Linked DNA regions of Saccharomyces cerevisiae S288C. The protein of the gene in region 1 binds, or shares a complex with, the protein of each later gene. Each region holds a gene or a part of one and is shown in the gene's direction. Other genes may lie near its edges.

Region 1 (4,437 bases):
GCGGACGCCGATTTACATCACATTCTCGGTAATTACGGTTGTTTGATTGTCGAACGTACTGGTTCTGATGTAAGGTCTTTTTTGTTATCCCATGATATTATGTATGAACATAGAAGGAATATTCTTATCATCAAGCAACTCATCTATAATGATATTTCTTCCACGAAAGTTCGTCTATTTATCAGACGCGCCATGTCTGTACAATATTTGTTACCTAATTCGGTCATCAGGTATATCCAAGAACATAGACTATATGTGGACCAAACCGAACCTGTTAAGCAAGTTCTTGGAAACAAAGAATGATTTGCCGTCCGGAATTGCTTCGTTCTTTCTTTCATCTTTCTCTTTACAATTTCCAATTTTCCCCTACAGGAATTAATTGGAGGGTACAAGCGAGTAGAAATGTGACATATGACTTACCTATCTGTGTTTTAGTATAGTTTTTTTTTCTGTAGTATAATTCACTTTTACACTAATTTTTTCGCCTTTTTCTCTTAAAGAGCTAATTTCTATAACCTTCAGCGGTTATACCAAATATAAAAAATGGAAGGAAAACAAACAGTAAGAAATAAGCGCAACAGCACGTTAGTTCACCATTGGATTCCAACATTTCAAAATTTAATCTAATGGCAAGAGATATCACATTTTTGACCGTATTTTTAGAAAGTTGTGGCGCTGTAAATAATGATGAGGCAGGAAAATTGTTATCTGCTTGGACTTCAACCGTACGCATTGAGGGACCGGAATCAACCGACTCTAATTCATTATATATTCCACTGCTACCACCTGGAATGTTGAAAGTATGTTTCTCCTAGCAAAATTAAAACCCATCCGTGAATGAAGCGTTACTAACTATAATAACTGGTAGCTTTGTCACTCGTACCAGGAAAAGTGAAGATTAAACTGAATTTTAAAATGAACGATCGATTAGTTACGGAAGAGCAAGAGTTGTTTACAAAATTGCGCGAGATTGTAGGTTCAAGTATTCGCTTTTGGGAGGAACAACTGTTTTATCAAGTTCAAGATGTAAGCACCATAGAAAACCACGTCATTCTCAGTTTAAAATGTACAATTTTAACGGATGCTCAGATAAGTACGTTCATAAGCAAACCCAGAGAGCTTCATACGCATGCCAAAGGATATCCTGAAATCTATTACCTTTCCGAGTTATCAACAACTGTCAATTTTTTTTCTAAAGAGGGAAACTATGTCGAAATAAGCCAGGTTATTCCTCATTTTAATGAATATTTTTCCTCTTTAATAGTGTCTCAATTGGAATTTGAATACCCGATGGTCTTCTCCATGATTTCAAGGCTCCGATTGAAGTGGCAACAAAGTTCGCTCGCTCCGATATCCTACGCCCTAACGAGCAATTCAGTACTTCTTCCAATAATGCTTAACATGATTGCCCAAGACAAATCTTCAACAACCGCGTATCAAATTCTGTGTCGAAGAAGAGGTCCTCCAATTCAGAATTTTCAAATTTTTTCCTTACCGGCTGTAACGTACAATAAGTAGCATGCATAAAATATAATTTAATCAAATACTTTTGGGCAATTAAAATTTTAGTTAACAATAGTTATGCAATGCGCTTTATGTTCATATGATACCGTTTATAAGCTATTGCCATATCCTTATCTTATTGCTTCCAGTAGCCTCGAGTCGACCACTAAAAAGATGTCACTTAAGACGGAAATTATGTAGCTGCACTTCTTTTTTAACAAGTTCGGTCGGCCCTTCAAGTTCTCCTTTCTAAAGCCTCATTATTTATTGCGTAGATGCTAAATGTTATCGCGGTTTAGCTTGCATGTTACGTTTCCGTTTTAGAACCTGGTCGAGTAGCGAATAATGTCTTCAGTTGATGTACTGTTAACAGTAGGTAAGTTGGATGCCTCATTGGCGTTACTGACTACTCAGGATCATCATGTTATTGAGTTTCCTACAGTATTATTACCAGAAAATGTTAAAGCTGGATCTATCATAAAAATGCAAGTTTCACAAAATTTAGAGGAGGAAAAAAAACAAAGGAATCATTTTAAGAGTATACAAGCCAAAATTTTGGAGAAGTATGGTACCCATAAACCGGAGAGCCCAGTTTTGAAAATTGTTAACGTTACGCAAACGAGCTGTGTTCTAGCATGGGATCCATTGAAACTTGGCTCAGCAAAATTGAAATCACTGATCCTTTATAGGAAGGGAATACGTTCAATGGTAATTCCAAATCCATTCAAAGTGACTACCACGAAAATATCCGGTCTTTCCGTTGATACGCCATACGAATTTCAATTGAAACTGATAACCACGTCAGGAACATTATGGTCTGAAAAGGTTATATTGCGTACACATAAGATGACTGACATGTCTGGTATCACTGTATGTTTGGGTCCATTGGATCCATTGAAAGAAATTTCAGACTTACAGATATCCCAATGTTTGTCTCACATCGGGGCGAGACCTTTACAACGTCATGTTGCGATAGATACTACGCATTTTGTCTGTAACGATCTAGACAATGAAGAAAGCAATGAAGAGCTTATAAGGGCAAAACATAACAACATACCAATTGTCAGACCGGAATGGGTGAGAGCTTGTGAGGTTGAGAAAAGAATCGTTGGTGTTAGAGGATTTTACTTAGATGCAGATCAAAGTATACTGAAAAACTACACATTCCCACCAGTTAATGAGGAAGAACTTTCGTACTCAAAGGAGAATGAGCCGGTAGCCGAAGTAGCGGATGAAAATAAGATGCCCGAGGACACAACAGATGTCGAACAGGTTGCATCACCTAATGACAATGAGAGTAATCCTTCAGAAGCTAAGGAACAAGGAGAAAAGAGTGGACATGAAACTGCCCCAGTAAGTCCTGTAGAAGATCCATTGCATGCTTCGACGGCTTTGGAGAATGAAACCACCATCGAAACCGTCAACCCCTCCGTAAGAAGTTTGAAAAGCGAACCTGTTGGTACTCCCAATATAGAGGAAAACAAAGCGGACTCTTCCGCAGAAGCCGTGGTAGAAGAACCGAATGAAGCTGTGGCTGAAAGTTCTCCAAATGAAGAAGCAACGGGACAGAAAAGTGAGGATACCGATACACATTCTAACGAACAAGCTGATAATGGATTTGTACAGACTGAAGAAGTAGCTGAAAACAACATAACCACAGAAAGTGCAGGGGAAAATAACGAACCTGCAGATGATGCAGCAATGGAATTTGGACGTCCAGAAGCTGAAATTGAAACTCCAGAAGTAAATGAGTCTATAGAAGATGCCAATGAACCTGCGGAGGATTCCAATGAACCTGTGGAGGATTCCAACAAACCTGTGAAGGATTCCAACAAACCTGTGGAGGATTCCAACAAACCTGTGGAGGATTCCAACAAACCTGTGGAGGATTCCAACAAACCTGTGGAGGATGCCAATGAACCTGTGGAAGATACCAGTGAACCTGTGGAGGATGCCGGTGAACCCGTACAAGAAACCAACGAGTTTACTACCGACATTGCCTCTCCAAGACATCAAGAAGAAGATATAGAACTTGAAGCCGAACCTAAAGATGCTACCGAAAGTGTTGCAGTCGAGCCATCCAATGAAGATGTAAAACCAGAAGAAAAAGGTTCAGAGGCAGAAGACGATATCAACAACGTTTCCAAGGAGGCTGCCTCTGGTGAGAGTACTACCCACCAAAAAACTGAGGCCTCTGCTTCTCTTGAAAGCAGTGCCGTCACGGAAGAACAAGAGACAACGGAAGCCGAAGTAAATACAGATGACGTTTTGTCCACTAAAGAAGCTAAAAAAAATACTGGCAACAGCAACAGTAATAAGAAGAAGAATAAGAAGAATAAGAAGAAAGGGAAAAAGAAATGATTAATGGATGCCTTCAATGAGTTCCACGACGCACGTTTATTTTTTCGACTGAGAATCCCTCAGCAAATATAATCTATTTTTTATATATCTGTGTATATGTAAGCATGTATAACTAGTTACAAATATGATAACTGCTTTGGCGATCACTTCATTTTCTTGAGAGGGGTACTCAGTAGCCGCCAAGCACGAAATGTCCGTTATTAAAAATTGGGGAGTGAATCTTAAAAGCCCGAAAAGGAAATTCAAAATCTGTCTATTTATAGGCCGTCGCGCTCTACGAAAACGCGAAATTATTCAAACGGAAAACGGAAAAAAATCTAAAAAAAGAAATTAATTGAGAGATCTCACGGAAATGCCGCGAGGAATGTTTCTCGAGGCTGAGCGGCGTGGTCTGTGCAAAAAAATGGCAATTTTTTTGTAGGAGTTTGCATTGGGCCATTCAGAAGGAGCACCGTTAGATGGGATGGTAAATGAATTTGCTGTTTCAGATTTGAATCAATCTTTACCCGTTATTTTTGCCGTTTTGCTTTCATAATCTGCAAATTAACAAAGTCATAAAGAACATAAAGACAT
Region 2 (2,678 bases), on another chromosome or scaffold:
TCTTCCAATCACATCCCACCTCCAGAATCTGGTGTTTTAAAGGGCGGTAAAGTTAATTCAAAAACCAGAGCTTTAAAGGCCGTTACAAGTATCATTGCAGACGCCGATGAGAACCCTCAGAAGAAAGTGAACAATGAGACGAATGGAGTCCAAAAGCAAAAGACAGAAGATTTGAGTAAAAGAATAGGTAAATTTGAATACCTTTTTTACAAGTTTTTACTTGTGTTGTTATACATCTGCTTCGGGTTGTTTCGGTACGGTCAATACCAATATAATAAAATGAAACTAAGAATATTCAGTATCATCTACAACCATGCATATACACCACAGTTGATTAGACAGGACGTTATTCCTCTGAAAAAAATTCCTAAAAGGTTGGCCGCTATCTTGGAAGTCAAGCCAGTTGGCGACGTTGGCGGCGGTGTGACAGGTTTATTAAATGACGCGAGTGAAATTGTTTGCTGGACTGTTTCAGCTGGTATAAAACATTTGATGTTGTACGATTACGATGGAATATTACAAAGAAATGTTCCAGAGCTGAGAATGGAAATTCATTCCAACCTGGCTAAATATTTTGGGCCAGCTCATGTTCCAAACTACGCTGTTAAAATACCTCATTCTAACAAGATATTCTACAATCTAGACGGAATTGAAACCGAGACTGATGTAGGCAATGAGATAGAAGCTAACCAAGAAAAGGACAAAATTGCTATTGAAATTTCTTTATTGTCTAACAGAGATGGTAGAGAAACGATTGTCGATCTGACCAAAACTATGGCTGAGTTATGTGCGGTTAACGAATTGAGCGTTTCTGACATCACAATGGATTTAGTTGATTCAGAACTGAAACAACTAGTTGGACCCGAACCAGATTTACTGTTATACTTCGGGCCTTCGTTGGATTTACAAGGGTTCCCACCTTGGCATATTAGATTAACCGAATTTTATTGGGAAAAAGATAACAACGAAGTCATATATTCGGTTTTCATCCGCGGCCTAAGACAGTACGCAGGATGTAAAGTGAATGTTGGTAAATGATACTTAAGAGCTAAACGAAAAGATAAGTATCTCGCTCAACCTTTTAATTTTGCACAGTTGAATTCTCGTCTGATACTTAAGAAAGTCATTGCCCACATATATAACAGTAGTAATAATGATAATGATAGCAATAGTTTTAAGCTAGCTACTTAGTTGCATTTTTCAATAGTTTAGTAAAAAAAGTCACGCAATAAGCTCTCAAGAAGCCACTAATACCGTAATGATAGCAGTTTATTGTAGAAAAACCATGTTATTACCCTTCCCTTTTTATTTCTTTTCGCGTTGCAAATCACATATAACGAGGTGGCTTGTATTTGTCAAACCAAAAAAAAAAATGAAAATCGAAAAATGGAAAAACAGAGAGAGAAACGGAATCTTTGACACGTTCTCGATCCACTTGTTTATCGAGGTGGTTTTTATAAGTCTTACTAGATAGAAAGTTCATTTTGTTTTGAAACTTTTTGGAACCTCTGGCATTGAAGGTATAAGAAAGAACTCAAACAGGTTTAATAGAATTAAAAATGGGTTTGTTTGCCTCTAAGTTGTTCAGTAACCTTTTTGGTAACAAAGAAATGCGTATTCTTATGGTTGGTCTTGATGGTGCTGGTAAGACCACCGTTTTGTACAAGTTGAAATTGGGTGAAGTTATCACTACCATTCCAACAATTGGTTTCAACGTTGAAACTGTCCAATATAAGAACATTTCATTCACTGTCTGGGATGTCGGTGGACAAGACAGAATTAGATCTCTATGGAGACACTACTACAGAAACACTGAAGGTGTTATCTTTGTTGTCGATTCTAACGATAGATCGCGTATTGGTGAAGCTAGAGAAGTTATGCAAAGAATGTTGAACGAAGATGAATTGAGAAACGCCGCTTGGTTGGTGTTCGCTAACAAGCAAGATTTGCCAGAAGCCATGTCTGCTGCTGAAATCACTGAAAAACTAGGTTTACATTCTATTAGAAACCGTCCATGGTTTATCCAAGCCACGTGTGCTACCTCCGGTGAAGGTTTGTATGAAGGTTTGGAATGGTTAAGTAACAGTTTGAAAAACTCAACTTAAAAATTCTAGAATATGGATCAAATACGCTTGTATAAACTAAATGAAACATAAAGATTAAGAACTTAAGAGGCCAACGTCGATGGATTTATTGACGATCACCAGCCAACACATATAGATTTTAGTGTAAAAGCAATAAAAACCAAGATAATAAAATAAAAAAATACTGAAGAAGCCTAACTAGTATAAACTACTTTAACTAATAATGGCAATTTGATATAGAAACAAAGAAACATGATATATTTAGGATATTATACAACGCATTTTCATTTGTTTTACAGCACCCCTGCGTGAATCATATATTGACGTTTCGCTCTCAGGTCCACCGTGTTCTCAAAAGATACTTTTAAAACCTAAAACACACGAAATCATATTATGATAATTCAGAATGATAGTGTGGTACTGTGTCAATTGACTGTTCAAGACTGAAGAGGATCTTTGATTTGTTGTTACTCAACAAATAATCTTCACGAAAACTTTCTCAATCTGGGGACTGTATTAATCTCAGACCCATACATATCTACACCCATAACTTTTTACATTTAATTTTTTATCACATAATAGGTAGCTTAAATT

What was found. Proteins that work in one complex are often made in the same cells at the same time.
Region 2: the proteins of CHS5 (region 1) and ARF1 are in contact, whole or in part, in a crystal structure (PDB 4Q66), measured with the Saccharomyces cerevisiae proteins. Residues at the interface, in NP_013434.1 of Saccharomyces cerevisiae: Thr92 (codon at 2,122), Arg119 (codon at 2,203), Lys133 (codon at 2,245), Ser135 (codon at 2,251), Gly136 (codon at 2,254), Met168 (codon at 2,350), His214 (codon at 2,488), Asn235 (codon at 2,551), Asn236 (codon at 2,554), Ile237 (codon at 2,557), Pro238 (codon at 2,560), Ile254 (codon at 2,608), Val255 (codon at 2,611), Tyr261 (codon at 2,629); in NP_010089.1 of Saccharomyces cerevisiae: Arg73 (codon at 1,776), Asn95 (codon at 1,842), Asp96 (codon at 1,845), Arg97 (codon at 1,848), Ser98 (codon at 1,851), Arg99 (codon at 1,854), Ile100 (codon at 1,857), Pro131 (codon at 1,950), Glu132 (codon at 1,953), Met134 (codon at 1,959), Glu138 (codon at 1,971), Lys142 (codon at 1,983).

What each region holds. Positions count from the first base shown.
Region 1 is NC_001144.5:785,816-790,252, forward strand, and holds CHS5 (Chs5p), read left to right. Parts: upstream 1-1,848; coding exon 1,849-3,864; downstream 3,865-4,437. Other genes in the region: nicotinamide-nucleotide adenylyltransferase NMA1, read left to right, coding at 1-303; REC102 (Rec102p), read left to right, coding at 627-800, 898-1,518. UniProt on the Saccharomyces cerevisiae protein: Component of the CHS5/6 complex which mediates export of specific cargo proteins, including chitin synthase CHS3. Also involved in targeting FUS1 to sites of polarized growth.
Region 2 is NC_001136.10:114,762-117,439, forward strand, and holds ARF1 (Arf family GTPase ARF1), read left to right. Parts: upstream 1-1,559; coding exon 1,560-2,105; downstream 2,106-2,678. Other genes in the region: NUS1 (ditrans,polycis-polyprenyl diphosphate synthase), read left to right, coding at 1-1,038. UniProt on the Saccharomyces cerevisiae protein: GTP-binding protein involved in Golgi vesicle trafficking. May modulate vesicle budding and uncoating within the Golgi apparatus. May recruit the lipid transfer protein VPS13 to Golgi membranes.